Elephas maximus indicus: one gene and its partners. The protein of the gene in region 1 purifies or fractionates together with the protein of each later gene. This does not show direct contact. Links are inferred from orthologs where the notes say so. Each region holds a gene or a part of one and is shown in the gene's direction. Other genes may lie near its edges. The genes, in order: ANAPC15, CDC27, ANAPC1 and anaphase-promoting complex subunit 2.

Region 1 (8,126 bases):
CCCTCAACGAGCTGGATTGACACAGTGGCTGCAACAATGAGCTCAAGCCTAGCAACGATTGTAAGGATGGCACAGGACCTGGTAGCATTTCATTCTGTTGTGCGTAGGGTCACTATGTGTCAGAACTGACTCGACAGCACCTAACAACAACAACAATTTTTCATAGAAGAATAAATTTTAGTTCTGGGATCACACACTTTTAGAAATGCCAGGTTGTTCCTCTAATGTGGCCTTGTTTGCAACACTAACCCCAGCCAAAGACCAACTCACCCTGAAGATGAGGCCTGAAAGTATAGCAAGGGAACATGGGACGGTGCCTGGCCACCTCTAATAACAGAGCTGGTGTCTGGGGTCCTAAAAGCTCCTCAGAGCAGCCATCCGCAAGATACAAAGTCCTTGCAGAAGATGGGTAACTCCCTTGTGGGTGATCTACACCCCCTAGTGGTGGCTTGATCAAAAGGGGGAAATGTGTGCAGACCTGAAAACCTGAGGCACCTGGTGTAACTGCAATGGCTGGCCCAGTACTAAATTACACTCTATTTTGACTCACTCCCTAAAACCTTTGCTCTACTTCTGCTTTTCCGTGGCTGTCTGTAAATCTGTAGGCATAGCTTGTTATTTTAAGATAAGAGGATGGGACCAGGTATACAGTTGTTACAGAAAGCTTGACACACATGTTCTAGGCCGAATACTTTGTTCAGGATGTTTCAAGATGTTAACAAATAAAATTACTAATGTTAAGAAAGATTGTGGCTTAATGACCCCGTTGAGATTTTTTTTGTCATATACACTTCTGGTGCCTGGGAGCACATAAGCTTTTGTTTACTCCACCCTATAAAAAGCTCACTTCCTGTTCTCTGCTTAAGAGCTACGGTGTATCTTGATTCATGAATCTCTCCAGTCCTCAGGAAAACTCTGTAGTTTCTCTTTTAAAAGAGTGTGAGTTTGGTCTCCTGCTTCTTCTTTTATGGTATTTCTGTTACAGCAGCACTAGTATACTAAGATAATCTCCTTTTACCACTTCCCTATCAGGTGAACTCCTACTCATCCCTCAAAGGCCACTAAATGTTTCCTTCTCTGGAACACATTCTTAACTCAGTTTATTCAGAACCCGTTCATTCCCCCATCCTCTGTGATCTCATAACACCATAGCATATACATAGATTTTAACATTTACCATCCTTTTCTATAATTGTCATGGTTTTCACTAGACTATTTTTCTCTAGGGCAGGGATTATTTCTGATTCATTTCTCTATTCCCCCCCCCCCAATTTTTTTTTTATCAATGTATCCCCAGGGCCTACCAAAATGTCTGACATTCAGTTGGCACTCAATAAAATTGACCTACCATTGGAACAAATGAATGAGTAAATGAAATTTACTCATGAATGAATGAGGTAGATTTCTTAATTACTCAATCTTAGTTTTCTTATCCTTGAAATGAGAGAGAGTCATAACACTTGGCAAGGATAACTGAGGGATAATGCATGTAAAGCAAATGCGATCATCAACTCAGTTGCCTGGGCCAAAAAATAGGGGGTTGCCGCCAATTTCTGCTTCTCTCTTTCCCTTTCCTCCTCCCCCCAACTAACCAGTCACCTTGACTTGTTGAACCTGGCTGAGGACCTAGGAAAGAAACTCTAGGCCATTGGGGGATTTCCATCTGGAAGGACAGGAGGCAAAGGGTGCCTGAGGTAGGAATCTGTAAGGAAGAAAAATAGGAGGAGAGACTGATGGAGACATAGGGAAAGCACGTGAGGGAACCAGGGAATGGAAGATGCCAGGCTGACTCTGGGGACATAGAGACCACTCAGCCCCTGCCCTCAAGGATCTCATGGTCTGCTGGGGAAACAAACATAAACCCAATTTTGTTTATAACTAGGTTATAGCGGATCACTACCTCCTTCCTGAAACCCTTTGTTTTCTTGGCTTTCAGGACACTACCCAATTTACCTGGCTTTCTACCTACTTTTTTGACCTTCCTCCTCAGTCTTGTTTGCCGCTGCTGCTTCTGGTTTCCTCAAATTCTGAATACTGGAGGAAACTATTTTCCATCTGTACTCACTCCTTTGGTGATCTCATCTAGTCTCATGCTTTTAAATACCATTTACATGTTAATGACTCCCAAATTGATATATCCAGCCCAGATCTCTCCCCTGACCTGCAAATCCATAGTGTCTTGACATTTCTAACAGGCATGTTAAACTCAACACCTCAAAGCCAATACTGAACTCCAGATAGTTCCCCTCAAACCAGCACCTCCCAGTCTTTCCCTTCTCAAAAAACTGAAACTCCATTCTTCCAAGTTCTTCAGGCCAAAATGCTTGGCTCTACTCTGATACTGTACATCCAATCTGCCAGCAACTCTTGCTTTGTCTACCTTCTAAATATATTCTGGAATCAACCACTTCCATCTGCCACCTCTGGGTTATTACAATAGACTTCCAACTGGTCTCCCTGTTTCTTTTGCCCTTGTCCTCCTGAAGTCTGTTACTCATAGAACAGCCAGAGTGACCCTCAACAAATATAAGTCAGAACGAGATTAATGGAAACAAACAGCCAGAACGGAAATAATGAAGATGTTCACACATTGCGAAGAATGCAACCAATGTTACTGAACAGCTTGGGTAGAAACTGTTGAATGGGAACTGAAACTGCTGTGTAAACCTTTACTGGAAACATAATAAAATACTATTAAAAAAAAAAGTAAATCAGATTGTGTGGATCCTCTGCAAACAAACCTTCACTGGCTCCCCAAAGCAGAGTAAAAGTCAAAGTCCTTATTATGACCTGCAAAGCTGTACCTATCTGACACCTGCTGCCCCTCTGCCCTCATCTACTACTCTCCCCATAGGACACTGTGCTCCAGCCACTCGAGGCTCTTTTCACATGCTGTTCTCGTTTCCCAAAAATGCTGTCCTCCAGATGTCCGCATAGGCCTCTCTCTCCCTCTCTTCCTTCAGACCTTTACTCAAAAGTCACTGTCTCAGTGACTTCTTCCTTGGTCCCCCTACCTAAGATAAAACACCTCCCTCCTTCCTACATGTTATTCCCACTTCTCTGATTTTTTTCTTCTCAGTATTTATCACAACCTAAAAATTATGTATTTTATTTGTCTATTTCTTTATTGTTTATTCTCTCTCATTCAAATGGAAGCACCATGAGGATAGGGATTTTTTTTTTTTTTTGGTTTGTTTTGATCAGTACTGTATACCCACTGCTTAGAACAATGACTGGCATATAGTAAGGTACTTGATAGGTATTTGTTGAATGAATGGGTGAGTAAATGAATGAATTAATGAAAAGGGTGGATAAGGTAAATTTTACTCTTTAAGGAAAAACATTATAACAACCAGAGTGGCTGGGCAGCATAACCACAGTTGATGGGCACAATACACAACTGTTTAAACACCTGTTATGTCCTCAGATAACATGAGCCCAGGAAAGAAAGGAGGCTGGACAGACATTATGATGCTGGTTAAAGAGGAAACTGAGACCAGACAGGAAAAAAGGACTTAAATTGCCAAAGGCCACATATCTGGTCAGTGCAGGAGTGGGACTGTGGATGACTGCTGGCCCTGGAAGGTGCAGGAGGGTGAATAGGAGTTGGGTTCTTAGGAACACTGTTGCCAGAAGGTTTGAGGATCTCTAAAGAGGCTGAGTCAGAGGTTACTAGGACAGAGATGTCAGCAAAAGACTAGGAGAGATGACGGGCTAACCACTGAGGGGAGGGTAGCTGAGTTCGCCAGCAACTGAGTGTGTGGCTAAGGCTGACTAAGTCACTCAAGCCTGGACAGCACCTCCAATGTCAGACTGAATACGCAACTTAAACAGACTAACGAGTCCACTGCGGGACTGCATGGTCTGGGTTCCCACTGGACTGTATGAGATCTTGGGGGCAGGGAGCACGTTTTTAAATTTATCCCCAGCTTCTAGCACGGCCTGGAATATAAAAAAAAAAACAAAAACGTAGGGACACAAATAGTTTTATTCAAGGCATAAACGAATGGATGAATGTGTTCAAGCGGGAAAGTGAGACTGAGCAAGGACAGAAGACGCTTAAAATAACCCAGCCGTTCTCTGGGCTACAAGCAGGCAAATTTCCTGCTACTAATGCAGCAACCCCGGCAGCTATTTCTCAGCAGGGGTTGACAAGCAAACACAGCATAGCCCGGGTAACAAAGTGGAGGGATTAAATGAGCCGTTGGGGCGGGGCCAGGATGGAGAGGTCGATTGGCTAAAATTGAAGGCGGGGCCCATGGAGCTGGCGTGGCAAATTTCCTCCCCTAACGTAACCAAGGTGTGTCAACGTCACATCCGGTCAGGTGGGGCGGGAGCGGGAAACTAAGAAAGCCAAAGACGCATGCGTTTGGTGTGTCCCGGAATTTTGGCGGGTTCTTCCGCTCAGGCAGGAAGAAGTGCTTCCGGGTCGCCGCCGGCTGCCGCCTAGTGGCGCGGTAAGTACAGAAGCAGGCTATGGCTGTTGTTTCTTCGCGCGTTTCTTCCTCCCTTCCCCAAAGAAACCCGTATCTCTTGACCCGTCTCCTCAAGAGTTCCACATTCGCTTTTATCCTCATGGGCCTTCAGCTCATTGGCCGCTTCCTCGAGACTAAGCCCCACCCTGCCGTACAAGATCCGTCATTCATTGGTGTCACTTCCTGTCACCCGACAGTTCTTCCAGTCAATTGGCCCTTCCCACACCCAGCTCCTTTCGCGATTAGCAACCCTATAAGGGCACACTCCTGTCCGAGTCCCGCCCCTGCCCTCTCCTCGTTGGTCAACTCCACCGTATTATCGTAATAAGCAAACAACTCTCTGGAAGAATGAGCGGTGGGTTGGGCTTTCAGAGCAGTGGTCTCTGGCCTCTCAGTTCCTCTGGGAGGTGAGGGTGAATGGTTTCCTACCCGTTGCGCGGACTGGAAACTGAGTTCCCGAGAAGGGCAGCGGCTGCCCTTGGATCGGTCAAATGAATCAGAGCAAAAGCAGGATTAGATATAGATCCTTCTCTCCTGCTTGTCTCCCCTAGTGCCTGGCCTGGGTCCTTTTTCCTCGGGAGTTCTGAGATCGGACTGACTGTGTGGCCTACAGCCAATCGCAGCCTCTCTCTGGGCCTCAGTTTTCCCGTTTGTGAGCTGAAAGGTTTTAATTCAGACTCTCTCAGACCTTCCTGGCCGGGTCCCTCACTGCTCAGTCAGAGCTGAATTTACTTGATTTTTTTTTTTTAGCGTGTTCATCCATTCAATTTCCCGTCTATTTATCCGTGTGTCAGCTCATTTACTCACGCCTTCTGAAATGTCTAACTGAATCCCTGCTTGCACGTGGTACTCCCGCATTTGGCTGTGGTCCATGTGAGAGGTGATTTAGTGTCCAAAATTTCTGACACTAGGTGGGTGTGGTACGGACCATCATTTTAAAAACAAAGTTGCATCGATTCTGACTCAAAGTGACCCTATAGGGCAGAACAGAACTGCCGCATAGAGTTTCCAAGGAGTACCTGGTGGATTCAAACTGCCAACCTTTTGGTTAGCAGCCATAGCACTTAACCACTACACCACCAGGGTTTCCATCATGGAGAGGCAGAAAGGTTTTCAGTATATGAAGGAGGAAGTAGAGACCCCTATTTTAATTTTATAATTCCAGTCTGCATTTTGAATTCTTGTCTCTACACTTGTCTCCCATTCTCTTTCCTCCTTGAACAGCTTACAAAGAGCTTTTAAAATCCATTGTTTTATTATCAGAATAACTAGAAAGGTGGTATGATTATTATTATCCCCATTTTACAGATGAGGAAACTGAGGCTCAGAGAGGTTAAGTGACTTGTCCAAGGTCAAACAGCTAGTAAGTGGTGGAGCCAGGACTCAAATCCAGGTCTAACTGATTCCCAGACAGAAGGGCTGCTTCCCTGCTACCTTCAACTATACCCCAACCCCCTATCAAACAAAAAAACCCACTTCTGAGAGTTGGATTCACCTGATCTTTTCCCTCAGTCTAGGAGCCATGTCCACTTTGTTCCCCTCACTCTTTCCTCGTGTGACGGAGACACTCTGGTTTAATCTGGATCGACCCTGTGTGGAGGAGACAGAACTGCAACAGCAGGAACAGCAGCATCAGGCCTGGGTGAGTGAGGATTTAGTCTGGTAGGGACACAATAGTGGGCACCTCAGTCAGGGACCCTCCCTTCTACTGGACCATGACGTTGCTTTGTTCTGGAGACCTGCCCTGGGGTAGCTTTTTGTCCTGAGCTAGGAAGAATCTGGAGCTGGGAGCCCTGGGGGCCTAGGTTCTCAGCTATGCCCTGCCCTGAGTTGCTAGGGGACTGTGGGACCTCTGGGCCAGACTGGAGCCCCACATTTCTAACACTTAGTCCAGGCTCGTTTTCCTAAAGCACAGGAAATAATTTTGATTACTTATTGAAGACCTCGCAGATGTTCTAGGCCGATATCCTCTTACTTCACCCTCACTGTAATCCTATGAGGAAACCAAGGCCCAGAGAGTTTAAGTAGTTGGATCAAGTTCATAAATAAGTGGCAGATGGAAAGAAGGGAATTGGATCTTCCTGAGAATGGAAGAAGTATCTCCCCTGCCACACTTGGGGGTCTTCTTGAGGGCAAAATGGGCCAGTCCCATGCTCCTGATCTGCCCTGATAGGGCCCTGGCCATGCTCCCCTCTCCCTTTGGCCATAGCTCCAGAGCATTGCAGAAAAAGATAACAACCTCGTGCCTATTGGGAAGCCGGCCTCAGAGGTAAGTGGCTCCAGCAGGTAGGGATGGTGTGGGGCCCAGGGTGGGCCAAGGCTCTCCCCTAATTTCCAAGGTCCTGCCTCTGGTCCCAGAGCAATCTGGGTGAGGACCAGAAAGAGGAGTTAGAGGGGGTGGGCACTAGGGCCAGTGGAGGGCTGGTCTCTTGTCTCCCACACTAAGGTCCTGCAGAACATGTACCAGCCTGCTAGACCTGATGTGGACAGCGTTAGGGAGTTGGGGGATCAGTCACTGGCCCCAGAGAGAGGCTGTAAGTGGGCCACCCTTGAACTGGTCTGGGCAGGCCTATAATGCCCACAGGCTCTCCTCTGCCCCACCAGCACTATGATGATGAGGAGGAGGAGGACGATGAAGATGACGAAGATAGTGAGGAGGACTCAGAGGATGACGAGGACATGCAGGACATGGATGAGATGAATGACTACAACGAGTCACCTGATGATGGAGAGGTCAATGAGGTAAGTAGGGGTGTAGAGGGAGGGCCTCTGTTCCTTAGCCCCTTCCTATGACCTAATTGGTGACCAAGGGATGCAGAAATCCTGGATCCAACTGGGGGCAGAGTGGATGAGGCCCTTGGACCTGGGCTGGCTGGGTGGCTGAGGCCCCTTCCCACCCACACCAGCCTCCTCCTCAGGTGGACATGGAAGGCAACGAGCAGGATCAGGACCAGTGGATGATCTAGGTAGACAGGAAAGGAATGTCCACAAGGAGATCCCAGGCCAGCCCACCCCACACTGCACCCCTTGCAGAACCAGCTGACAGTTCCAGTGCCTGAAACCTTAATTTCGGACACCTCTGCAGCTGCTGGTAGGACCTGATCTCCTTGGCCTCTCCCAGGCCATCAGCCTGCCCTCGAATCCCCAGGGCCTGAGCCCACCCCACTTTCCTGGCCAGTACCTCTCCCCTTGGCTGCCAGGTCTGGTCTATTTCTAACTCTCTTTAATAAAGACACAGGACTGATTGATTTTTTTTTTCCCCCTTTTTCTATTCTCTATCACTTCGTGAGGCCCAGAGGAGCCTAATGTCTTCTCTTGGGCTTTGGGGAGAGGGCGTTGAAGGGACTTCAGGCAAGACCTAATTGGCCAGGTGGGTTGGGGCTGAGGAAGGCGCCTATGCCATTTCCTCTGGTCAGCTTGCACTCAGCCCCTCTTGGAGGGCCTCTAACCCAGTGTCTGCTGTCTCCTCTGATCCCCCCCAGAATGGCATGGGTTGGAGAGGGGTGGCTTTCTGAGGGTCAGAGCTGGGAGGCCCCCAAAGCTCTCCCAGTCACTTCCTTCAGTGTCAGGAAAGAGGATTAAATCTCAGAGGTGGGCAGGGGCTCTCCTAGAGTCACCTGTAAATTGGGGACATAGCAGGGTTGGGAGCTC
Region 2 (7,970 bases), on another chromosome or scaffold:
AACCAGGAAGAAGTAAAGGTGAAAAAAAGAAGGATAGAAGACAGTATACAATAGGGACAAGACGAAGGCTGCAGACAAGGAGGAATAAAGGAATTCAGAGGAAGAGCACGCTTGCTCTGGGCTACTCTTCAGTGCATTTTGCACGTTTGATACCACGTCTACCTTCTTGAATAGTTCCCTAAATGCCTGGTTTCCTAAATCTGACTGAACATGAAATAAATCCAGAAGCAGGCTTAGGAGAAGAGATAGTTTACCATTTGGGGAATAATGCTTATTGCAACTCAACTTCACTCACCAGCTAACATAATGTTGGTAATGGATGATAGCCAGATATCCAAATGTTCCTGAGTAGTGAGTTTTAACAGAACAATCCAGAACAAAGAAGCGGGAAAAATTTAAAAAAAAAAAAAAAAAGAACAGAGAAGGAAGCAAAAATGCTCTAAAAGATCCCATCAAAGCACAACATCAAACAATGTGGCCTTGCTATGGCTGATTAGAAAACCACAACAGATGTATTAGCTGGGTGAGCAACAAACAGTCAGGAAAGAAATGATTTTTCATTTGTTTTGTTTTTATTTTAGGAATAAAAAGGCTTTAGGCAAATTCCAAGTTTAATAGCTAGAGTGTCAAGGACAACAGACTCTTTAAATGTTCATTCTAGATACACATTTTTACACATAAAGAATCATCTTTATGTATCCTGTGTAATAAGGTTCTACATTTAGGTTTGCAAAAAATCCATTGCACAAATATAAGACCTGGGTTGGCAGTATGTTGTGTGGAAAAGAGCTGGATTTGTAAAGTGACCACAAGGTTAACATTAGCAAACATGTGATGTGGCTGCTAAAAAATGCAAATGTAATTTTAGTCTCCATAATAGAAGTGTCCAGATAATAAAAGTAATAGTCATACTGTATCTTAGCTATCTAGTGCTGCTGTAACAGAAAAACCATAAGTGGATGGCTTTAACCAAGAGAAATTTATTCTCTCATGGTCTAGGAAGCTAGAAGTCCCAATTCAGGATGTCAGCTTCAGAGGGAGGCTTTCTCTCTCTATAGGCTCTGGGGGAAAGTCTTTGTCATCAATATTTCCCCATCAAGGAGCTTTTCAAGTATTGGCACCCTGGGTCCAAAGGACGCGCCTTTCTCCTGGATCTTGATTGTTGGTGATAGGAGGTTCCCATGTCTCTCTACTCACTTCTATCTTTTATATCTCAAAAGAGATTGACTAAAGACACAACTTAATCTTGTAGATTGAGTCCTGCTTCATTAACATGGCTAGCACTAATCCTGCTTCATTAATACCATGGAGGTAGGATTTACAACACATAGCAAAATAACATCAGATGACAATACTGGGAATCATGGACTAGCCGAGTTGACACACATTTTGGGGGGACATGATTCTATCCATAACATTCTGCATTCTGAACTGATCAGAACAAATCTGGAGTATTTAATCGTTGTTATTGTTGTCGAGTCAATTCCAACTCATGGTGACCCCATATATCCAGAGTAGAACTGCTCCATAGAATGTTCAAGGCTGTGACCTTTCAGAAGCAGATCTCCTGGCCTGTCTTCTGAGGTGCCTCTGGGTGCATTTGAGCTGCCAACCTTTCAGCTAGTAGTTGAGTGCTTAATTGTTTGTGCCACCCAAAGATACCTTGTGTTTAGTTAAAACGGTCAAATTTTAAAAAGTAACATCTCTTATCCATCCCTTTCTTTCCATGCCCACTATCAGGAGATGTCATCTCAGATCTGGTGTGGTAGATTGTTTCCAAAGATAGCCCAGCAATCCCTCCCATCTCACAAGCCTTTGGCAGCAACACTTTGTCAATCCTTGAATCAAAAGGTGGAGTCTGTTCCTCTTCCTAATGAATACGGGCTGGCCCTCCGTCTTATTCTGACCAACAAAAAGTGATGGGGTTTGACTTAAAACCTAGGCCTTAAGGGGTCTTGCAGTTTCTGTTTTTGTCTTCTTGGTTGTCAGCCACTCAAGTCAAGAAGCTGGGGATAGACGACAGACCACGTGAGGAAAAAGGTCACCTGGAAGAGAACTGAGGGGTGCAGCCAACTGCTAGCACCAAGATCCCAGACAAGTGAAACCATCTTGGATCTTCCAGCCCCAGTCAAACACACCACATGGAGCCAGAATGAGCTGCCCCACAGAACTCTGCCTGAATCCCTCATTCACAGAATCATGAACAATAAAATGGCTACAGTTATAAGCCACTAAGTTTTGGGGTGAGTGTGTAGGGAAAGAAGATCAACAGGCAACTGAAACACCAGGATCACTAATATGAGCTCCTAATTATTATCCATCATCTATAGGATCCTTATGAGTTAGAATTGACTGGATGGGGTTTGGTTTATAAATTATTCTCCATGGCATAGCATGGTCCTTAAGTATGGAAGGTGAAGCCAGATTGCCTGAGTTTGAATCTATTTGTTTGACCTTGGGGAAATTATTTACCTTCATTTTCTTCATCTATAAAATGCAGCTAAAAACAGAACCTACCTCTGTTAAGTTGTTAAAAGAATTAATCCAAAGAGTTTGGAATAGTGCTGGGAACATGGTAAATGCTCATTAAATTTTAACTAGTATCATTAATTTTTTTTTTCCAGTGCTATCTGATAGAACTTTCTGCAACAATGGTAATGTTCTACATCTGTATTGTCCAATATTGCAGCCATTTATGTCTATAAGACCTTAGAATGTGGCTCAGGCCACTGAAGAACTAAGTTTCTAATTTAATTTTAATTAATTAAACTTTAAATAGCTGGTGACCACCATATTGGAAAGGAGCCCTGGTGGTGCAAAGGTTAAGCGTTCAGCTGCTAACTGAAAGGTTGGTGGTTTGAACTCACCCAACAGCTCTGTGAGAGAAAGACCTGGTGATCTGCTCCCAGAAAGATTATAGCCTAGGAAACCTTATGGGGCAGTTCTACTCGGTCATAATGGGTTGCTACGAGTCAGCGAACAATAACAATACCGTATTGGACAAAGTAGAAGTCTATTCCCATTCTAATTAATCTAACATGTTGCTGGGTGCTATCGAGTTGATTCCAATTTATAGCAATCCCATATGTTATGGAGTGAACTACCCCATTGGGCTTTCTTGGCTGTTATCTTTATGGGAGCAGATCACCAGGTCTTTCACTCACAGAACCATTAAGTCAGCAGCCGAGCACTTAACCATTTTCACTGCCAGGGCTTCTTTAGTTTAACATAATCTTGCTAAAAGAACAAGGCACAGGGCAGCAGAAAATCACCTTAGGACCTGTCTTTTACAAGACTACAAGTACATAAACAGTAACTAGACATGGTTAGAGAAAGATACAGCTCTATCAGCTGGTGGTTTTTGGTTTTTTAAAAAGACCTCCCTCCGACATCACCAAAAGGAAGGGGGCCCTGTCTTAGTTATCTAGTGCTGCTATAACAGAAATACCACAAATGGGTGGCTTTAACAAACAGAAACTTATTTTCTCACAGCTTGGGAGGCTAGATGTCCAAATTCAGGCTGCTGGCTTTGGCTCTAGGAGAAGGCATTCTCTCCCTGCCCATTCTGGAGGAAGGTCCCTGTCTCTTCTCTAAGATGATAGAGACTTCCCCAATAGCTCTCACTTCCTGTTGAGCCCTCACCGGAACTGCTTTTGACATCCGTAATTCTACCAACACTCTCTTCAAGGTAATCTAGGCTTTTACAATTAGGCACCTTAAAACTCTTCCAGCCTTCATCCATTACCCAATTACAAAACCACTTCCACATTTTAAGTAGCACCCCCACTTCTAACTTGATTTCATCTGCATAAAAATGTGAGAACCAGAAAGAGGATTTTCTGCAAAATGGAGTGCACCGTGAGTGCTACAACTAGCCTACAGATGCACTTAGACAATTAACCTTAAAAAATTTTTCATCTTCTGAAAAACAAAACAAAGTTTTAGTAGTTCCCTGACCCCCTCATTTTTCATTTGGCAGAAAGGAACTTTGAGAGAGCGTATGTGTACTAGACACAGCCACATATATTAACGTACATAATTCTTTTAGTCTTTCATTTTTTTCTCAGACCAAGCAAATAGAAGCTCAGAAAAGTTGTGACTTGCCTAAGGACCCAAAGCCAGTTAGTGCCAGAGATGAAATTCAAAACCAGAACTCTGGATTTTCAATCCCACGCTCTTTCCGATAGATGAGAATGCCTCTCCTATCACACCTTTTGAGATTCTCCATCATCTGGTCACCTAGGTAACTATTTCCAGTTAATGCCTTAACTCTTACCAGACTGGTAGCTCTTCCTCCCTTCACTTACACACGCTTTCTTTTCTTCTACTACTACCCATCCTTTCAAGTCCAGTTTAAATTTCCTTTCATGAAAACTTCATCTTCAGTCCCGATTAATTTCCCTCGCCTCTGAATTTTCACATCATTTCTAATGAGCACCACATAATGTAGTGCTCTTTGTTACACTGCTTTTCCCTTAAAAAAAGAAAAAAACCTTTTTTTTTTTTAAGTAGACTGTAATTTCCTTAAGGCCATACTCTTTCGGGAGGGCGATCCTTCCAAATTTCTGGCGATATTCCTCTGAGCTGGGACAGAGTGACTACTAAACTCAACACACAAATACTTCTTGGTTAATTAACGTCAGCTCCAAACTCTTAGGATTCTACTCTTTGCTTAAAATTACCGCGCGCCAACTAATGCAGAAAGAGTAGCGAATCGAAACTACAGCCCCACCAAGTAACGCGCCCCTTCAGTTCCGTCAAGCCTCGCCCACCCTGGTGGTTGCCGATTGGGTGTGGCCCGGCCTTCTGGTGGCCAATGGGGCGTGACGTGGGCGGGTGGGGGCGTGGCTGAGATGGCGAACCTTTGCTCTGGGTCCGTCTCGGTAAACTCCGGTAATCCTCGACAGTTTCCGGCAACGGTCTCCTCCGCCGCCACTTCTCCTCGGCTATTTCCGGTCCCTTTCGGGCCTTCCCGTCTAGCTCCCGCTCGTCGCTTTTCACTTCGGGTATTTCCGTGTCTCGCTCGGAGGGACTCGGCAATTGCTCGGCCTCCCCCATCCCCCGGTAACGGTCGCTGGTGAGTTTAAATGAGCCGGGGCTGGCCGGGCCGGAGCCGCTACGGGGGGGGGCCTGAGGCACAGCAGAAAGTGGGCTTGAGCCTCAAGGATGACGGTGCTGCAGGAACCCGTCCAGGTAATGATAACCCCTTCTTCGAAGCTCGGCTCGCAGCCTCGGCCAGGAAGCAGCGTATGGCCACTCCGCGGCCTGGTGCGGCCTAGGCCGGGCTGCTTCTCCCGCCTCCCCTGATGCCGGCTCCTGCCTGTCCCTTCGTCAGTGCGGCGGCCTTGCCCGCAACCTAAACCTTGACACCCCGGTCCTACAATACTTCTACCCTAACCTGAGCAGGGTGCGGCTACAATACCGCCTTTCCCCTCGGAGCCGACGTCTGGCCAGCCCCTCCTGTCAGTCTAGGGGCCTGGCCGAGCCGGGGGTGAGAGATGAGGGGCCGAAAACTCGCCCCAGGTGTTCTCCTGCCTGAAGGGCAGTTGAGAATCACCTTTGATCGGAGCTTGTGTGATCCTCATAATGGTGTGGGGCAAGTTTGCGGGGGTTGTTTTTGTTTTACATGAGAGGGTGGAAGGGGAGGGTAAGATCGGCATTTTTAATACTAATTTCTGTTTTGGTCACAGCCTTTCTAGTCCACGTTGCTTTTCTCATTGAGTGAATTTTCCACAGGACAATTCCAAGAAGAGAGCTCTTAAGGCCAGTGCTGAGGTGCAAGCACCTATCCAAAAGGAAGGGGGGGTAGAAACACCAAGTCCGGGAGGTTTTTTTACCCCCCCCACTACCTGTGATGAGGGTCAGGAGTATTTTATCGTGCACGTTTATAAACTGTTTGGGAAACGAAAGACTAGTAATGGCTTTTCCATTTCATTGTCTTCAACATAGCAAGGTATGCTTTGACACACAGTGCTCTGTTGGCATCAAAGAAAGCCTACTGGATTTTAAGTGTGGAATGCAGTGCCAAGTCATTTTCCTCCTTCCATCGAAGAAACTGAATCTTGTGTCCCTTGGTGATCGACCAGGTTTGGGGGACTTTCAACCCACCATATGATCTTTGACTTGATTGGAAGAGTTGACCTCTATCAACTGCTGTCATTGAGTAGTGGATTTTCTTTATTTTAGAGTTACAAAGTGAACTGGTTTTTAGAAGTTACTTCATATTGTCCCTAATAGGCCTGTGGTATCTAATAGTAAATACTTTAATACATCACTACTTCCATATTTCCTTAGTTTTTCTTCATGGCATGAAATACTCATTTCTCCTAGTTTGCCTTCTTCTCTAGCTCTTTACATATAGCAGCTATTAGTGTTCAAATTGATGTATTGTGGGATTCTATTGTAGGAAATTTACTTGTTTACAAGTTAGTTCTACCATTGCTTCGAAAGTTATTTCTTTCCATTCAAATTCCTCTTACTAATAAAGAATCCCTTTTAAGAGTTTTTTGGACCTAACAGGAGATTAGAAGTTGCTATCTGTACCTTCTTAAATAGCTAAACATATTACTTAAATTGCCTAATTTCTGTTTCATATGCTTGTGATTTTTATCTTCTTATCATTTGTTTTCTCTGACCCCAGAAACTTCTAAGTGGTAAAACAGTTTCATTAATGGCATAGAACTACTATTTAGTAATAATACCAACCTGTATAAAAGCATGGAAAAGAAAAGAAATAGGTAGCCTATTCCAAGATAGTGCCCATCAGGTTTTTCTGTTTTCTTAAAGTACTCTTAGCAGTATGCACTTAGATACTTTTAAGGATTAAAAGTCAAATTAAGCTCTTTTTCCCCCACTAGCTTTGTTCATTCTGGGATGGTGGTAATGAGTTTTAGAATATGACTAGGTGAGAATTTTGGGTGTTATTTATAGTATAAAAGGAAGCCACTCAAGAAGGCATCTTGAGCAGTGAGAGGACCAAGCAGCTTGAGCTGTGGTGATAAAGATCAAATTATGAAGGATAGCGCTGAAAATGGGAAAGAATTACTATGGAAGAGAATAAAAATAGGACTGATGGATATGATTTGTTTTTATAAATATTTTTTTAAAGTATAATGTGCATATATCTGGGAAGGAGTGGGAGTAAGTTGGAAAATTACTTTGTTTCCTTTATTGGGATGCCTCAGGGTTCATAGTATTACTCAGCAAAGGAAAAAATTGAGAGGAAAGATGAGCAAATATTTTCTACTTTTTTTTTCCTTTAAAGTTTTAGCTTGGAAGAGTCAGTCTGATATAGTATATGTGCCTAAATATGATGGAGTCACTCCTCTGCCAAATTACCTCTCATAGAAAATTATTATATTTGAGTTTTTATAAAAATCTCTCATATTATGAGGCAGAAGCTCTATCAGTTATTTTATTTTTAATAGTAACTGTTTGGGGGAAGACACATTACTCTAAATGACTTTAGTCAGTACTGGGCTGGCTGTTTATAAAAGTCACCCGATGAAATTGGTTTTTCATAAAAAGGCAAAGCCATATAGATTTAACAGTTATTCCTGGGGGAGCACTTCGTAGTTAGAAGTGTCGGATGAAGTTTAAACATGCCTCAGAAATCACCTTCATAAGGAGTGTAGTACATGGGTACTATATGTACAGTGTCAATGTGGAGATCACTAGATAGTGTAGGAGTACTTTTAGCTTGGGGTCAGATGTCCAGGGAAAGCATCTAACATGGATTCAAAGTACCATATTTCACGTAATTTAGAATTGAGGGTGGTATACTCTGGAAGATCATGTTAGATAACTAAAAAAAGTGGCTCTGATGATAATAGATACTGATGTCAAAGATGCATGTGAACAGTTTGAGTTAAATTGTTTTATGCAATAGGAGTAAAAAAAAATTTTCTGAATATATTTTATGTGAAACTAATAAATTAGTAGGCATTTGACTTTGATCTGCATTCCCAAAA
Region 3 (7,324 bases), on another chromosome or scaffold:
TCCTGTTTACCCAAATTTTGGATGGTAATCTTTTAAAAGCTAGTTTGTTCCACCAGCACAGTTAACCTTATCTGTTTCAGAAGGTCTGAGTGGAGACAGCTGCGAGGGCTCAGAGGCGAGGAAAAGCCCTTGTATAAAGGGGCTCCACACATCCCACGTTTCACTCCCTTGGCTAAAAAGGGTAGTTTAAGGCCTTAAACTTACTTATCAGATAGATATTAGAGACTATACTAGGCAGCTTCTGAGATGGTACCCAATGGTACCTGCTTCCTTGTGTAATCTCCTTCCCTCAAGTGTAACTTGCTTCTAACCCTCCAAGGGGATGGAATGTCACTCCTGTGATTAGATTATATAAGACCGTGACTTACATCTTGCTAGCAGACCCTCAGAAATAAACGGCCATGTTGGGGAGCTCCACATGGCAAGGAACTGTGAGTGGCCTCTAGGAGCTGAGGTGGCCTCTGGCTGACAGCAAAAATTTGAGGCCCTCAGTCTTACAACCACAAGGAACTGAATTCTGAGTAAGCCTCAAAGGACACAAAACCCCAGCCAACTCATTGCGTGCAATCTGTTGAGACTTTAAGCAGAGGACTGAGCTAGGCCATGCTTGGACTCCTGACCCACAGAAATGGTGACATAAAAAATGTGTGTTGTTTTAAGCCATAAAGTTTCTGCTACTATTATTATGCAGCAAATGATAATAATACAGTCTTATATTTTGCAAAAAATTGATTAAAATTTAGAAATAGGGATTTTATTGTTTTTTTTGCATAGCAATTATATATGTGGAGTTTTGCTAATTATCGGGGGTGTTTACACCAACAGAAGAGATCTATTTTATAATACTGGGTATACCTGTGACAACTGTTTTTTAGTATGTGTCATGGATTGAGTTATGTCCCCCCAAAAATGTGTGTATCGATTTGGTTAGGCCATGATTCCCAGTATTGTGTGGTTGTCCTCCATTTTGGGACTGTAATTTTATGTTGAGAGGATTAGGGTGGGATTGTAACACCACCCTTACTCAGGTCACCTCCCTGATCCAAAGTCAAGGGAGTTTCCCTGGGGTGTGGCCTGCACCACCTTTAATCTCTCAAGAGATAAAAAGAAAGGGAAGCAAGCAGAGAGTTGGGGACCTCAAGCCACCAAGACAGCAGTCCCGGGAGCTGACCGCTTCCTTTGGATCTGACATTCCTGTGCTGAGATGCTCCCAGTCCAAGGGAAGACTGATGCATCACAAGGACTTTCCTCCAGGGCCGACAGAGAGAGAAAGCTTTCCCCTGGAGTTGGCATCCTGAATTCAGACTTCTGGCCTACTGGACTGTGAGAGAATAAACTTCTCTTTGTTAAAGCCATCCACTTGTGATATTTCTGTTACAGCAGCACTAGATGACTAAGACAGTATGCTTCAGTTGACTTCAAGTTTTGTGAATCATATACTAGAAAATTGAATATATTCATAAAATATGGTTGTTAACCCACTTACCATATAAATGAACTGGCAGTGAACTCTATTATTTTCCCTTTCCTTTGTACCCTGACTTTTGGGTCCTTTGTATCCAAAATGTAATTTCAGGAACTCTTAAGGTAATTTGAGGAGGCCTGGTAGTGCAGTGGTTAAAGAACTCAGCTGCCAACCAAAAGGTCAGCTGTTTGAACTCACCAGCTGCTCCACTGAAGAAATATGTGGCAATCTGCTTCTGTAAAGGCTGTAGCCTTAGAAACCCTATGAGGCAGTTCCACTCTGTGCATTAGGGTCATTATGAATTGGAATCAACTTGATGGCAATGGATTTTTAAGGTAGTTTATTTGGAAGCCACAGTTAAAGTGCAGTGAGTTGGCTGTCTGGCCTAGGAAACTCCTGGATTTATGGTTCGAGCCCCATGAGCAGAGGGGTTAGTGGCAGAAGCAGAAGGATTTGCTTACTTAAGAAACTGTCAGATCATGAGTCCAAGTAATGCTGTTAGTGACAACGCTGTTAGACCGATGTCTGACCATGAGTGTTGCAAGGAGCAGTGGGGCCAGTTCTGCTGTTCTGCAGGGAACACAGCAATGTTCTAGCCCCAAAGGACTGACTGGTGGTCTCTGGGAGTACTGGAGGGGAGCTATCGGTGTAGACCCTGGTGTCCTCACAGTGGACATCATCAGGTAAGGCCTCAGGGAGGCCCCTTAAGAAAATTTCTTGAGCAGGCAAGATAACTTGAACAGGCAAGGGAAAAAGCTGGGTAAATCCTTTCAGTGACTCTACTTCACAGCTGGATAATTAGCAGTATAAAAACACTCTTTGTGGACTGTACTGCCTGAATTCCTTAGAAAAGGGAGCCAGAGGCAAGAATGATTAGTGCTGATGCTTCATGTGGGTGGTTCAATCTCTAGACCGAAGAGAATGAATGAAATGGGAAAATGAGGCAGGGGAGCTTGAGAAGTAATGCACTGGATTCTGCTTCATGGGACGCCAAAGCCTCAGCAGACTGCCTGGCAGGTGCGCCACTCTGCCGCACAGGACATGTCCTGACAGGTATGCAGAAAAACCAGGCCTTAGAGTAGTTCACAGGAGGGAGGAAGAAAAGGGATTTTATACATCTGGCTCCTTCCTGCTTGTTCCTATTGATGGACATTTGCCTTGATCACAAATTACTCCCTATACTTTAGGTTATGTCTTCTGGCCCTTTCATAAGGCAGCTGCCATTCCCTGTGGGGGAGGCAGGAGAAGCCATAGTTGAGTTTTAGGGAGTGCCACGCATTGTCCTGGCTTCACAGCAGCAGCCAACGGAGAGGGCTTTGTCCTCTGTGGCGAGTGCCTGGTAGTGGGGCTGACAGGACTAGTGCAACCATGGGTGGCCTTTGGGGCAGGCCATGGTGGCAGCTGAGGTGGACAAGAGGCTGAGGATCTGGAGGATGGTGGCAATAAGAGACTCTGAGATGCATCTGAGGTGTGTCCTGGTGCAGGTTCTACCAGAAAGACCTGGTGGAGAAGGAAGGTAGGGACCCTGTGGGGGGAAATACATAAAGGATAAGAGAGGGCATTTGGGATATGATTGTTAACTTGACCTCATTTTATCGTCGAGCCAGGAAAGTCTGGTGGTATTTTGATTTCAGGTAAATGACTGGTGAAAGGCAGTTGTGCCCAAAGTTCTGAGAAACGAAAGGCTCCTTCCTGTTGGTGTGAAGCCTCCTGAGAAGAGACACTTGAGCTGAACCCTGAAGGGTGACATGCTAAGTAAGGCATGGCAATGAATACAGAGAGTAAGGCCATGAAGTGCAAGGTGTGTTTGGGGAATCCCAGTAGATGCTTTTAGCGAAGTCATAAAGTTTTAGCCAACTTTACATTTCTGGGTAAGCATTTGAAGTTTATTCCTAAGCACTAAGAGGCCTGTCAATAGTTTTAACTTGGCAATACGGGATTGTTGTTGTTAGCTGCTGTAAAGTCAGACTGACTCATGGGAACTCTATGCATTACAGAGTAGAACTCCTCCACAGGGTTTTCTTGTCTGTAATCTTTACAGAAGGAGATCCTCAGGCCTTTCTTTCATGGCGCTTCCATGGTTCCAACCACCAACCTTAGGTTAGCAACGCATTGCAAACCGCTCGTGCCACCCTGGCTCCTAATTGGGATTAGAGCTCAAGAAAGTTTCTGGTTTCCATAAATGTGATATTGTACAGTTGAACCCAGACAGGGAGGGGGGGTAAGGCTGGAGTTCTTAACCTGGGTCTCTGAATCACCTGTGAACCTCTGAAATTGCACGTTTTTTGTTAGAGCCTTCATACCTTTCACCAACTTTTCAAGGAGTCTGGATGCCTTGTGGTGCAGATTCACTCACGTAGAACGAAGATGAGCAGGGCCCCAGAGCCTGGAGGCACGTACCTCCATTTGGGGCCAAGGAGGCAGAAGCAAAAGCAGCCAGAAAATCTCATAACTCAGAGTCAGGTGGCAGTTCAAGCTCGTAGTGACATGATCTAGAGAAGATCTGCGTCAGGAGGGTGCCATCACACGTAGATTCTTGGAGTCGCTCCCGCTTCGGGACTCAGTGCTGCCTCTTAAGGCGGTTGGAGGTAAGGTCTTCGTGTTCTTCAGGCAACTGCGCAGGCGCCAAGGCCGCCGGGCGCCGCGCGCCTCCCGCGGTGCCCGAACCGCCCCGGCGCGAGGGAAGACGGGAAAGTCAAGATGGTCGTGTCAATTTAAACAGCTTCCGGAGCTGCTCGCCGGCACGTCAGCCTGCTGTTAGCTGTCGCGCCTGGTACTGCAGCCCCTTTTGCCTCCGGAGTAGGGGAGAGAGAGGGATGAGAATCAACGAAGGCTGAGGAGTCACCGTGACCGACCCCGCCGCTGTCCTCAGGCCCCTCCGGCCCCCGCGCCTCCGGGGAGCAGCCGAGGCTCGCCGCGCCTGACGCGTCCCGAGTCACACAGGTGCGGGTGCGGGGCTGCGGAGCCCAGCGGTCCACCTCCCGCCGCGCGCCCCGGGACCCTCATCCCCGCCCCGATGCCGGCCGGTGCCTGCTGACCAGAGGGCTGGGAGGCGGGTGGTGGGCTCCGACGGCCTTGAGGGCTGTACTTTTTGGGTGCGCCTTCCCGGTCTCCTCCTCGCTAACCAGTCTCTCGATGAAGCCCAATCCCTCTGAGCGGATTCTCTGAGGCCTGGGTTCTTAGCCCGCTGCCTTAGTCGCCTGCCAGAGGGGCCGAGAAGCTTTGTCTTTTTGCTGAGACTCAAGCCAGGGATCGTTGTGTGCACACCGTTCAGTCTTACGTTAGGTTCTGTTAGACTTTTAGGGGGAGAAATTGGTCACAAACTCATTGTTAGGCCAGCCCTCTGCTCCCTTTTCAGGATGATCTTTTAATCTCATGTAGGAAAAATTTTGATTTTTGTCATATTAATTTAACATAGTACGTTTCTGTATAGCTTTTTGTGTTGCCACTAAGTCAAGTAAAAACACATTTATAAAAGTTCGGGGTACTGTGAAAGTATTAAATTTGTGTTCATAATCTCAGAACGAAAGTAATGTACTGGGAAAGTAATTCTAGAGTTTTCCCTGCAGTGAAAAGAGAATAACGTTACAAAATTACACGAACTTGGATAAAGTCACAAGTTCTTTTATATCGGTTATCCTTTGGAACAGGGTATAGGAAGACCAGCTGAATTTTGTTATTGTAAGTTTTATAAAGCGTTATTTTAGTTATGTCCAAAGTTGAAGTGACTTTGTTCTCAGTACTGATTTCTAGCAGTAGAGAAGAAACGAACTTGGGTTGTGTTTTGCACTGTACAGTAATCTCAGGACTACCTTTTAATTCACAGTGGAGTAACTTAACCACTCTAAAGGAACTGCACAGGCTTTGAGGTGTTTGTGCAGCACAGAAAACAAACAACTGATGCCAAAAAGACCTGAGATGAGAAGTCTCAGCCAAATCTAATGAAATCCTCTTACTTGTGAGCACTGTTTTAAAATGTGCTTTCTAAAAGTTGTCTACGGTGCTGACATTGGATGTTTGCCTTGACGTTTGTGTTTGAGGATTGCAGCCTAAATATGATGCCATGAGATCCATTTTTAAGGCAGTCCTGTTGCAGACAGAACCGAAATCCACCTCGTATGCCATGTTATGCAGTGTCAGAATTTTACCAGTTGTCAGTTACTTATGTAGAAATATTTGGGAGGTAGAGGGGCACGTCTTGACCCACAGCTCATTCAAATCTGCCAGTAAATCTAATAAACTGCAATAAATTTTGCTAATTAAAAGCTAGGACTCTTAAATCTGCTGTTAAGTCAGATATAAGCCTTCTGTTTCATGGGTAGAGTTACGTATGCCTTGGTTCCCTGGGTTTGGACCAGTAAGTGGGGTGTAGTTATAGATTTAGGTGGAATTGGGGTGTCAAAACTACTGATGACATTTTGATAGCTTATTAGATCTTTTGTGGATTGGTTAACTGAAAGCAGTAGTTCAACCTCTGATGAATTAGAGTAATATGTTTTATCTCATTCCAAATGCCATCAAGCCTTTAGGTGTGCTTTTTGAATTAGACTCCAGTATCTGAGCAGAAATGACCTTGAATGTTGAGAAGCCATGCAGTCGTGGGACCATAAAGTACAATGTGTTTTCATACCTTCTGTGTGAAGTATAGAAACGTTATGGGGTAGCTGTGGGACATGAGTGCTTGTCTTGACTCAATGGTTTCCTACAGTGGTAGGTTTATTTTTCAGCTAGTGTGTGACTAACGTGACATCTACCTGTGAGAGTCAGATCTGGAATGCCCTTTGATGTCAGGATTACTTATATACCGACAACAAAATGGAATTATTTGATACTCATCAAAAGATTGATGACTGTAAACTCTTATGGTATTTTTAGTCTGATTTTGACTCTAGAAGCTCACCAGAATGTGTTTGAATTCCTACAGAAATAATGTTGATATTTGGAACCCATGTCGAACGTCTATGAAGAAAGGGCAACGATGATTGCAGCCAGGGATTTGCAGGAATTTGTCCCTTTTGGTCGAGACCACTGCAAGCACCATCCCAATGCTTTGAACCTTCAGCTTCGCCAGCTGCAGCCAGCCTCTGAGCTATGGTCCTCTGATGGTGCTGCTGGCTTGGTGGGATCCCTTCAGGAGGTCACAATCCACGAGAAACAGAAGGTTCCATTAATTTTCCCATCATATTTTTGTAGAGTGATGTAATATAATTGTAATTTAAGGCTCCCCTTAAATTGCAACTGAGAAATGAGTATAATGTTACTTCTAGGGTGGTGGTTAAAACTTGGCCATTTCCATCAAGGCTAAGATAATGACTTTATTGTATCAGTGTCATGGCTACTTATTTTGTCATATGTAACTCACTGTGATTTTATGATGAGAATCAAGCTCTTTACTGTGATTGTGCACCATTTAAAATCTCTTTTTACTTAGTTTGTACTGACTGGATCTCATGTTATTTGGGGATGAGTTGGGAGAGGTTTAGAAATAGCCCCTGATGAAAAAGACCTACATGTTTTTAGAGGAGAGAAGAAATATCATGTCAGTAGGTAGAGCAGTAGTTCTTAAGTAGGGAAATGTAAAATAAGTGTGTCAGAAAATCATAACCCCTGTCACCTTACTCCATTTTCATATGTCCCATTGGGGAATACCAAAATCTCAGGGAGGGGAAGTCTGAATATAAAACTCACTCTCTTCCAGTTAGACAAGGCAAGATGTATGTATGTTGCGAAGCAGAGAAATTTGCGTTGTGCATAAACTCCTGGCAATTCACATACGCACCTCACTGCCCCTTTATCACCCTCCTGTATGCTTAGTAAGACTTTTTATTCTCTCAAGCATATTAAAGATCTCATTTTTGA
Region 4 (7,381 bases), on another chromosome or scaffold:
GAGGAGGGGGAGGACGAGGGGTCCGGCTCAGAGGGGGCAGCCGAGGAGAAGCCCTTTGTGCTCTTCCTGCCCCGGGCCACCTTCGTGAACAGCGTGGGGCCCGAGAGCCCTCGGCTGCCAGGTGGTAGCCCAGGTGAGTGCCCACCTGTGAGGGTGGCAGTGGGGGAGGGCAGTGCTGGGATCCCAGGTCCTCATACTGCGCCTATGACCCACAGACCTGTCCAGCTACACTCCAAAGCACTCGGTGGCCTTCAGCAAGTGGCAGGAGCAGACAGCAGAGCTGGTTCCGTGCGAGGTGGAGCCCCTTCCTAAGGAGATCATGGTGAGTGGGGGCTGGAGGGTACCAAGGGGCAGGGCCAGAGAGGGTCTTGAACGCCTGGACAAGCCAGCAGCCTCAGCCATCCCCTCTTTCTCCCAGCTCACTCCTGCCGGCCAGAATGACCTCTCGGACTTCCGCAGTGAGCCGGCCCTCTATTTCTGATCCTTCAGGATGATGGGTAGAACCCTGGTGCAGGTGGTGGGGCCAGCAGTTCCCAGGAGCCCGCCTTCACTCTGTCCCCACCCCTTACCAGGCTCCCTTGCCACAATGTACCACCTTCTGCCCTGCAAGGGCAGCCAGGTGCTCAGGGCCTGCACTGGGGCTCCTGGGTTCTTCCCATGGGTCTGTCTGGGTCTCACTTCCTTTGGATGGGCTCCAAAGTAGAGAGCGGTGTGGGGCCCAGGGGTCCGGCTGGATGGCGCCCCTGTCTGTCCTGGTGGGGGCCTGAGCGGACTCTGGCCCAGGTTACCCTCTGTCCTGCCAAGCCCTGGCTCCTCATCCTGCCCAGTTGCACTGTGAAGGGGCTCTCCCCTGCAGGGGCTCCCTGGCCCACCCCTAGCCCAGCCAGCACTGACCCCCAAGGCTGAGCCTGGCCCTGCTTCTTGAGTGGTAAACGGGAAGTCTTTCCTGAGGAACGGACTAAATAAACAGCACTGGACACTGCCGCCTCGGTCTCTGGGTGGTCCCTCCTGTTGGGCATTCAGGGTTCAGGGGTTGGGGTTCCACGGAGCACATCTGCTGGGGGCCCACTGGGGGGTGGGGGAGGGGAGGGACCTTGTAGATGGGCACCTGTGGCCAAGTAGGAGGTACCTGTTGGCCTCTCACAATCTCCACAGCCCCAGCTCTCCCCCACCATTCTCTCACCCAGCTGCCCTGTGTCGCCTCTCGGTCAGTGTCGGGAGCGCCTGGTGCAGCACCCCCACCTAGAGCTGGCAACTTTAGGAGGCAGGATGCTGGGCCTTCCATCTGAGATTGGGAATTCTTTGTGTGCCAGGACCTGAGTTGGTTCCCTGAAGAGTTAGGGGCAAGGAGCCCGAGAGGGGTTGAAGAGCAAGGGCTGAGTATGGGCCCACGGGTGGTCTGGGGCAGGGCAGAGCCCTGGAGATCTTGGCTTTGTTTGGCTTGGAAAAGTCCTAACCCAGCAGAGCCCACACAGTGGCAGGCAGGCAGGCAGATGTGGGTGCCTGGGGTGGGCGCTAGTGCTGGCAGGAAAAACCGAAGTATGTCAAGAGGTGGGAAAGCCGAGGTGGGGGCCCCCACACTGGAGCAGCTCCTGGCTGGGCTGGGGGCCCAGATATCCTCGCTGCCACGTGCAGGCTGAGCCGGGCTGTTTACAAATCCACAGGCAGGACCGACCAAGCATTGAGTCTGAATACCTGTTTCCTTCCTGGGGAGTTAGGGAGTCAAACTTATGAATGAGCAAGTGGGACCAGGTTTGGGACAAAGGGCAGCATGTTGGTGTGTTCTCTCTCCTCTCAACAACATGTGTCTCCCCAAGGCACCCAGCCACAGGCCTGGGTTGCTGCAGTGCTAGGACCCCAGGGTGGAGGATATGCCAGCGAAGGTAGGGTTGGAGAGGTCTGGGGATGAAGGATGGGGCCCAGCAGCGCAGGGAAGAAGAGAAGTGGACAGAAAGGGTGTGAAGCTATAAGGCCTGTGTTCAGAGGAACCAGCGTCCAGAAGGGGGCTGGCGTGCACACTCAGCCATTTCCAACTGTCCTTGGGCCCGGCTATGGTGTGGCAGAGAGCACGACCAGCAGATGAAGGCCCTCAGAGAAGGATGGGCTGTGTCCTGGATTTGGGGGAAAGTAAGTGGGGGTCGGGTGAGACAGGGATAGAGCAAGTGGCCGTAGGTGAAGCAAAGGTCTGGGGCTGACATCTGCAGGTAGGCGGAGGAGGGTCATGGGAGATGCCCAGTGGCACCCTCTGCATCTGAGACTGGGGCTCTCAGTCACAGGGAAAACCACTCCAAGTCCCCTTTCCCTGCCCCGCCCCATGGAGGAGCCACCATACCCAGCCAGAACCTTTGTGGGCTAGCTCTGGGGGTGGCAAGCAGCCCCATGTACTCGACACAGGCACAAGCCAGCACGATTCTTTACAAAGAAAGCCTTTATTCACACAGTCACGGGGCACTAGGAACAAGCTCTGAGGTCTCAGTTCTGAGGCAGAAGAGGGCCCAACCACTACCTCACTTGCCTGGGCCCCTGCTGGCCAAGGAGGGACAAGGGAGGCAGAAGTCCTGGGGGTTGAGACTAGAACCAGCAGCACAGGGAGGCGTGGAGGTTTTGGAGTGCCCTCCCCAATTGCTGCCTGCTGGGAGCACCACGGAGCCAGATCCCTGCCTGGTAGGCTACTTTTCTCATCCAGAGCTAACAAAGGCTGCAGCTGCCTTGATACCAAAGACAGGAAAAGAAGGTGGCTGCTGCCATACAGAACAAAGACGCTTTATTAACAGGTTTCCTGGGGGCCAAGTAGCCTGGCCCACCCATGGCCTCGTCAACTGTCCTTGCCCCCACTGGCCTTCTGCTCCGAAGCCGTGGCCTTGGTCAGGTTCCCAGCTTCTCTCTTCAGGACACTAAGCAGAGTCTGGGAGCTCTCCAGGATCTGAGACCAAAGAAAACACAGGCTGGTCATTGATGCTCCCGCCTGGGGGGTACCCGGGGACAGGCAGGGCCTGCAGGGGCCTCTTCCCTCCCCAGGTCTGGCCAGTGCTTTGTTCTCTGCCGGCCCCCCGTCCATCACACACCGAGCAGAGTGAACCTCAGGAACAACCGTGGTAGGAGAACATGGGCTGGGACACACCATGTTCCACAGACAGCATTCTCCTTTCCTCAGTGGGCCCAGCCGAGATGTGGGGAAGATGCAGACTGCTCGCTGGGACCCCTTGCTCCCACAACTGAATGCCCCTGTGCTGAGCCAGGGTCCGGGGAGGGGAAGGGAAGCCTCTACTCAGGAAAGCCCCCAGTCCTGAACCCCCTAGGCACTCAACGCTTGCCCACACAAGGGATCGGCCTGGCCTGTGGCCCCAGCTGCCTCGAGTCCCACCTTGAGGTAGGCAGCTTCCGTCTCCGCGATGGTCCGGTCAAACTCGTTTCGAGAGGCGATCTTTCGAGCCAGGTTCTCATTGACCCGGGCCAGCTTCTCCGTCAGCTGCCTCACCTCGTTCTGCAGCCGCTGCTTCTCGTCCTCTTCCTGCTGGATCTGGCGGCACAGCTCCTCGCGCTTCTGGGACAACTCCTCGATGCCTGGGGCGGCAGGAAGGAGAGCAAGGTCCTGGCTAGGCCGCCTTCCCTCCAAGGAGGGCCAGAGTCCTGCCTCTCGGGGGCCTCTGGATACAATAAGGCGGTGGACGTGGGCGACAGCGCTGTGCCTGGGAGGTAGTGCTCACTACAAACACGCGGCACTCAGTGCGCACTCGGTGCGCACCAGGCGCTCTCCCACGCGCCTTCCACGCACAGTGACCGAGCTGGGCGGGTCCTAATGTACCGCTAGGCCCACCCTGGGGCCAGGAGGCCACGCACGGACTCGGCGCGACACTTGCCCACGGCCACGCAACTGCTTGGCGGCCGCGCGCCTACTGCCTGGGGCCCCGCCGCTGGGCCGCCGCCTCCAGCGCCCCGCTGCGCCCGGGCGGCTGTGCCAACGCTGGCCCAGGCCCCTCCGCGGGCTACGACCGCCCGGGCTACACGGCGCGGGACGTGCTCACACTTGACCAGCTCGTTGTTGTAGTTCTGCAGCGCCGCTCCCTGCTGAGTCATCGTCCCGGACACTCGCCCCTCCGCCGCCGCCGCGGGGATCCCGGTCACTCCAACCGCCGCCGCCGAGCACTCGCCTGCGCCTGCGCAGTGCGCACCGAGAGCGCGCCGACCTGCAACGTCATCGCCGCGCGCCTCTTTTGCGTCATCGCCCTGCGCCGCGCCCGGCCCGTGCGTCAAGGAGCCGCGCTGATCCGGGCGGACCCGGGAGCCGGTGGGCCCAGATGGCTGCAGAGGCGGCGGGGGCGAAGGGGGACTGCGACCCCGCGCCCGGACAGGAGCTGTTGGTGGCCTGGAACACCGTGAGCACCGGGCTGGTGCCGCCGGCTGCGCTGGGGCTGGTGAGGCCCGGAAGAGAACGGCGGGCTCGCGCGCGGTCCCCGCGAAGCTTTAGGGCCTCCGCCTCTGTCCATCGCCCGTCTCTGCCCTCCCGCCCTCCTCCACAGTCCCGCATCTTTCGGCTCCCTTGCCAGCCCTTCCCAGCGTCGGCGCCACATCGGCGCGCTGCGGCCGAGGAGCGGCGGGGCTCGCGCAGCCTCCCCTCCGCTGCACTGCCCGCCTTTCCCGCCTGCCGCTCCCCTCCCCCGCCACGTCCACTCGCAGCTCTGCGTTCCCCTCTCCTCACGGTTGTCTGCACTGTAGGCGTCCTCTCGGACCAGCGGTGCGGTCCAGCCAAAGGAGGAGGAGCTCCGGGCGGCTGTGGAGGTTCTGCGGGGCCACGGCCTGCACTCAGTCCTGGAGGAGTGGTTCGTGGAGGTGCTGCAGAACGACCTGCAGGCTAACATCTCCCCCGAGTTCTGGAATGCCATCTCCCAGCGCGAGAACTCCGCGGACGAGCCCCAGTGCCTTCTGCTGCTCCTTGACGCTTTTGGCCTGTTGGAGAATCGCCTGGATCCCTACCTGCGTAGCTTAGAGCTCCTGGAGAAATGGTCTCGCCTGGGATTGCTGATGGGCACTGGCGCACAGGGGCTGCGGGAGAAGGTCCACACCATGTTGCGGGGTGTTCTGTTTTTTTCCACTCCCAGAACTTTCCAGGAGATGATCCAACGTCTCTACGGGCGCTTCTTGAGAGTCTATATGCAGAGTAAGAGGAAGGGGGAAGGAGGCACCGACCCAGAACTGGAGGGGGAGTTGGATAGCCGATATGCTCGCCGCCGTTACTACCGGCTCCTGCAGAGCCCACTCTGTGCTGGGTGTGGCAGTGACAAGCAGCAGTGTTGGTGTCGCCAGGCCCTGGAGCAGTTCCACCAGCTCAGCCAGGTCCTGTGAGTACTATGCGTGTGGCCACGCCCCTGGGCCTCCTGATTTCCCAATTGTTCCTCTGGGTCTGGCTGCAGAGAGCTGGTCAGCTGGCCAGGGGCATCCCAGAGGGAGGGGGCCCTGGCACCCTTGGATGGTGAGTTTTGAGCCTTTGGTCTTGGACCAGTTGTATCTCTTTAGTTTTTGTGCACAGCCCAGGAGTTGACACTTTGCCCACACTGAGACCCTATGTGACTTGTGCGTGCAGCAGATTTCTGTCCCCATTCCAAACTTACTGGCTCCCCAGAATTCTGCTGTACTGCCTGTAGGCTAACGGGAGTGTACGTAGCCTGTGATTGTGGTTGCTGTGCCAGTGGGTAACAAACAGGGGGCTCACCATTTCTTCTGTGCTGAGCGTGTCAGGCAGGCAGATTTGTGTCCCCATTCTCTGGGAAGGAGTTCTTGTTGGCTGCAGCCAGGCTCTGCTGTCTGCTCCCTCCAGCGCGGTTATGATTTCTGTCATGTTGAGCAAAGTGGTTGCGATGCCGTTGTTTGGAAGGGGTCTCTTAGTTAGATTTGGATCAAGGGAGTGGTCCCGCTGCTGCCAAGGGCCCTAGAGGCCCTGAAGGGCTTCTGCTAGGCTCATCCCAGTTGAAGGTTGTATGGAACGCTCTTTCTTGTTTCCTCGTGAGTAGCTTTATTTTTCTAGACCAGCGTTCGTGCTGAAAGGTGCAGACGGTGGTATCTATGTTTACGTGGCCCGGGTAGCAGTGATTCAGTTGCTGTTTCCGAGCCAGGCCAGGGAGATGGGGCTTGGGCCTCTGGTAGCTCCCCTGCCGCCACTTCCTACGGGAATGGCCATCACCCCAGTCTGGGCAGTCCAGCTGGGCAGGCCAAATGGCACCTCGCCAGTGCTCTGTTCTCCCAGCAGCTTTTCCACAGAGCCCTGGCACAGCTGACACTGCACACACTCGTCTGTTCTCAGACACAGACTCAGTTTGCTGGAACGGGTCAGTGCCGAGGCTGTGACCACCACGCTGCACCAGGTGACCCGGGAGAGGATGGAGGACCGCTGCCGGGGCGAGTACGAACGCTCCTTCCTACGGGAGTTCCACAAGGTATCGCCGCCTTTGCTCCGTCCCCTTTGGAAGTGTGCCAAAGTGCAGAGACGGAGTGGGCTGGGACCTCGAAGGTAGTTGAGGCCATTCCGGGGGCTGCACTGATCATGTTGCATCCACGACGTGCTGGGTGAAGTCTTAGCGGAATCACACGGTTCGAGGCAGTGCCAGGGCCAAGCAGCGGTGTGGCCAGGCCCACCTGAGAGGGACAGACTGATCTCCTTTTAGCTGCGCCCCCCGGGGACTGACCCCTTGCAGCCAGCCTGCATCCCAGCATGGCCTGCGCACCCCCATGGGGCAGAGGAGGAGGGGCAGGAAGAGAAGAGCAGCCAGGGCAATGGGGGAGACTGGGGAGACAGCCTGGCAAGGTGGGGTCGTATCCCAGGGTGGGCCTCATGGTACTGTGCCATCCACAGACAGGCTTGGGGCTCTCCCAGAGCTGGCGGAGAGCTGGGACCAACCGTCGTGGCTCCCTGCTTTTCACCTGTTCTCACTCCGCCATTTCTGAGGGTCGCTCTCCAAAAATGACGGTTAGCATGGTTGAAGGAGGTACAATAGGGGTCCTCCAAGCAGTGGGCAAGAGTGGTCATGAGCCCTGGCAGCCCAGCTGGGACGAAGTGCAGATTCCCAGATACTGGAGTGAGCCGGGGACTCAAGGCGCAGCAGCCCAGGGCAGCTTGGGCTGTCTCTGTGGTGTTAACCCCACCCACGTCTGGGACGCCTCTCAGCAGGATCACACGTACACACACACACAGGAGTGACTTTGTCCCGCACTGCTTTGTTTGTGAAGGGCAGGGCACTGGTAACATCTGTGTCCTGGAGGGGTGTACCCACGCGGTGCATGCAGCGTGTGAGTGTGTGTGCAACTGTCTCACTCACGTGTGACATCAGTGTCAGTGGAGATGAACAGGGGGGCTGACGTGCATAGAGGGGGCTGGAGTCAGGGCCTG

What was found.
Region 2: the proteins of ANAPC15 (region 1) and CDC27 purify together in Homo sapiens (affinity purification with mass spectrometry; 3 studies listed by BioGRID and IntAct, with this or other methods). This does not show direct contact. The link is inferred for Elephas maximus indicus from reciprocal best matches to the Homo sapiens genes ANAPC15 and CDC27.
Region 3: the proteins of ANAPC15 (region 1) and ANAPC1 purify together in Homo sapiens (affinity purification with mass spectrometry; 3 studies listed by BioGRID and IntAct, with this or other methods). This does not show direct contact. The link is inferred for Elephas maximus indicus from reciprocal best matches to the Homo sapiens genes ANAPC15 and ANAPC1.
Region 4: the proteins of ANAPC15 (region 1) and anaphase-promoting complex subunit 2 purify together in Homo sapiens (affinity purification with mass spectrometry; 4 studies listed by BioGRID and IntAct, with this or other methods). This does not show direct contact. The link is inferred for Elephas maximus indicus from reciprocal best matches to the Homo sapiens genes ANAPC15 and ANAPC2.

What each region holds. Positions count from the first base shown.
Region 1 is NC_064825.1:52,739,670-52,747,795, forward strand, and holds ANAPC15 (anaphase-promoting complex subunit 15), read left to right. Parts: upstream 1-4,793; 5' UTR 4,794-4,823; coding exon 4,824-4,882; intron 4,883-5,987; coding exon 5,988-6,117; intron 6,118-6,684; coding exon 6,685-6,744; intron 6,745-7,079; coding exon 7,080-7,217; intron 7,218-7,381; coding exon 7,382-7,441; 3' UTR 7,442-7,732; downstream 7,733-8,126. UniProt on the Homo sapiens protein: Component of the anaphase promoting complex/cyclosome (APC/C), a cell cycle-regulated E3 ubiquitin ligase that controls progression through mitosis and the G1 phase of the cell cycle.
Region 2 is NC_064837.1:53,067,032-53,075,001, reverse strand, and holds the start of CDC27 (cell division cycle protein 27 homolog), read left to right. Parts: upstream 1-4,920; 5' UTR 4,921-5,166; coding exon 5,167-5,193; intron 5,194-7,970. UniProt on the Homo sapiens protein: Component of the anaphase promoting complex/cyclosome (APC/C), a cell cycle-regulated E3 ubiquitin ligase that controls progression through mitosis and the G1 phase of the cell cycle.
Region 3 is NC_064835.1:40,984,792-40,992,115, reverse strand, and holds the start of ANAPC1 (anaphase-promoting complex subunit 1), read left to right. Parts: upstream 1-4,155; 5' UTR 4,156-4,408; intron 4,409-6,389; 5' UTR 6,390-6,413; coding exon 6,414-6,626; intron 6,627-7,324. UniProt on the Homo sapiens protein: Component of the anaphase promoting complex/cyclosome (APC/C), a cell cycle-regulated E3 ubiquitin ligase that controls progression through mitosis and the G1 phase of the cell cycle.
Region 4 is NC_064827.1:1,039,239-1,046,619, forward strand, and holds the start of anaphase-promoting complex subunit 2, read left to right. Parts: upstream 1-4,165; 5' UTR 4,166-4,298; coding exon 4,299-4,415; intron 4,416-4,716; coding exon 4,717-5,339; intron 5,340-6,298; coding exon 6,299-6,431; intron 6,432-7,381. Other genes in the region: TPRN (taperin), read left to right, coding at 1-133, 216-322, 419-481; microtubule nucleation factor SSNA1, read right to left, coding at 2,816-2,923, 3,365-3,564, 4,026-4,077. UniProt on the Homo sapiens protein: Together with the RING-H2 protein ANAPC11, constitutes the catalytic component of the anaphase promoting complex/cyclosome (APC/C), a cell cycle-regulated E3 ubiquitin ligase that controls progression through mitosis and the G1 phase of the cell cycle.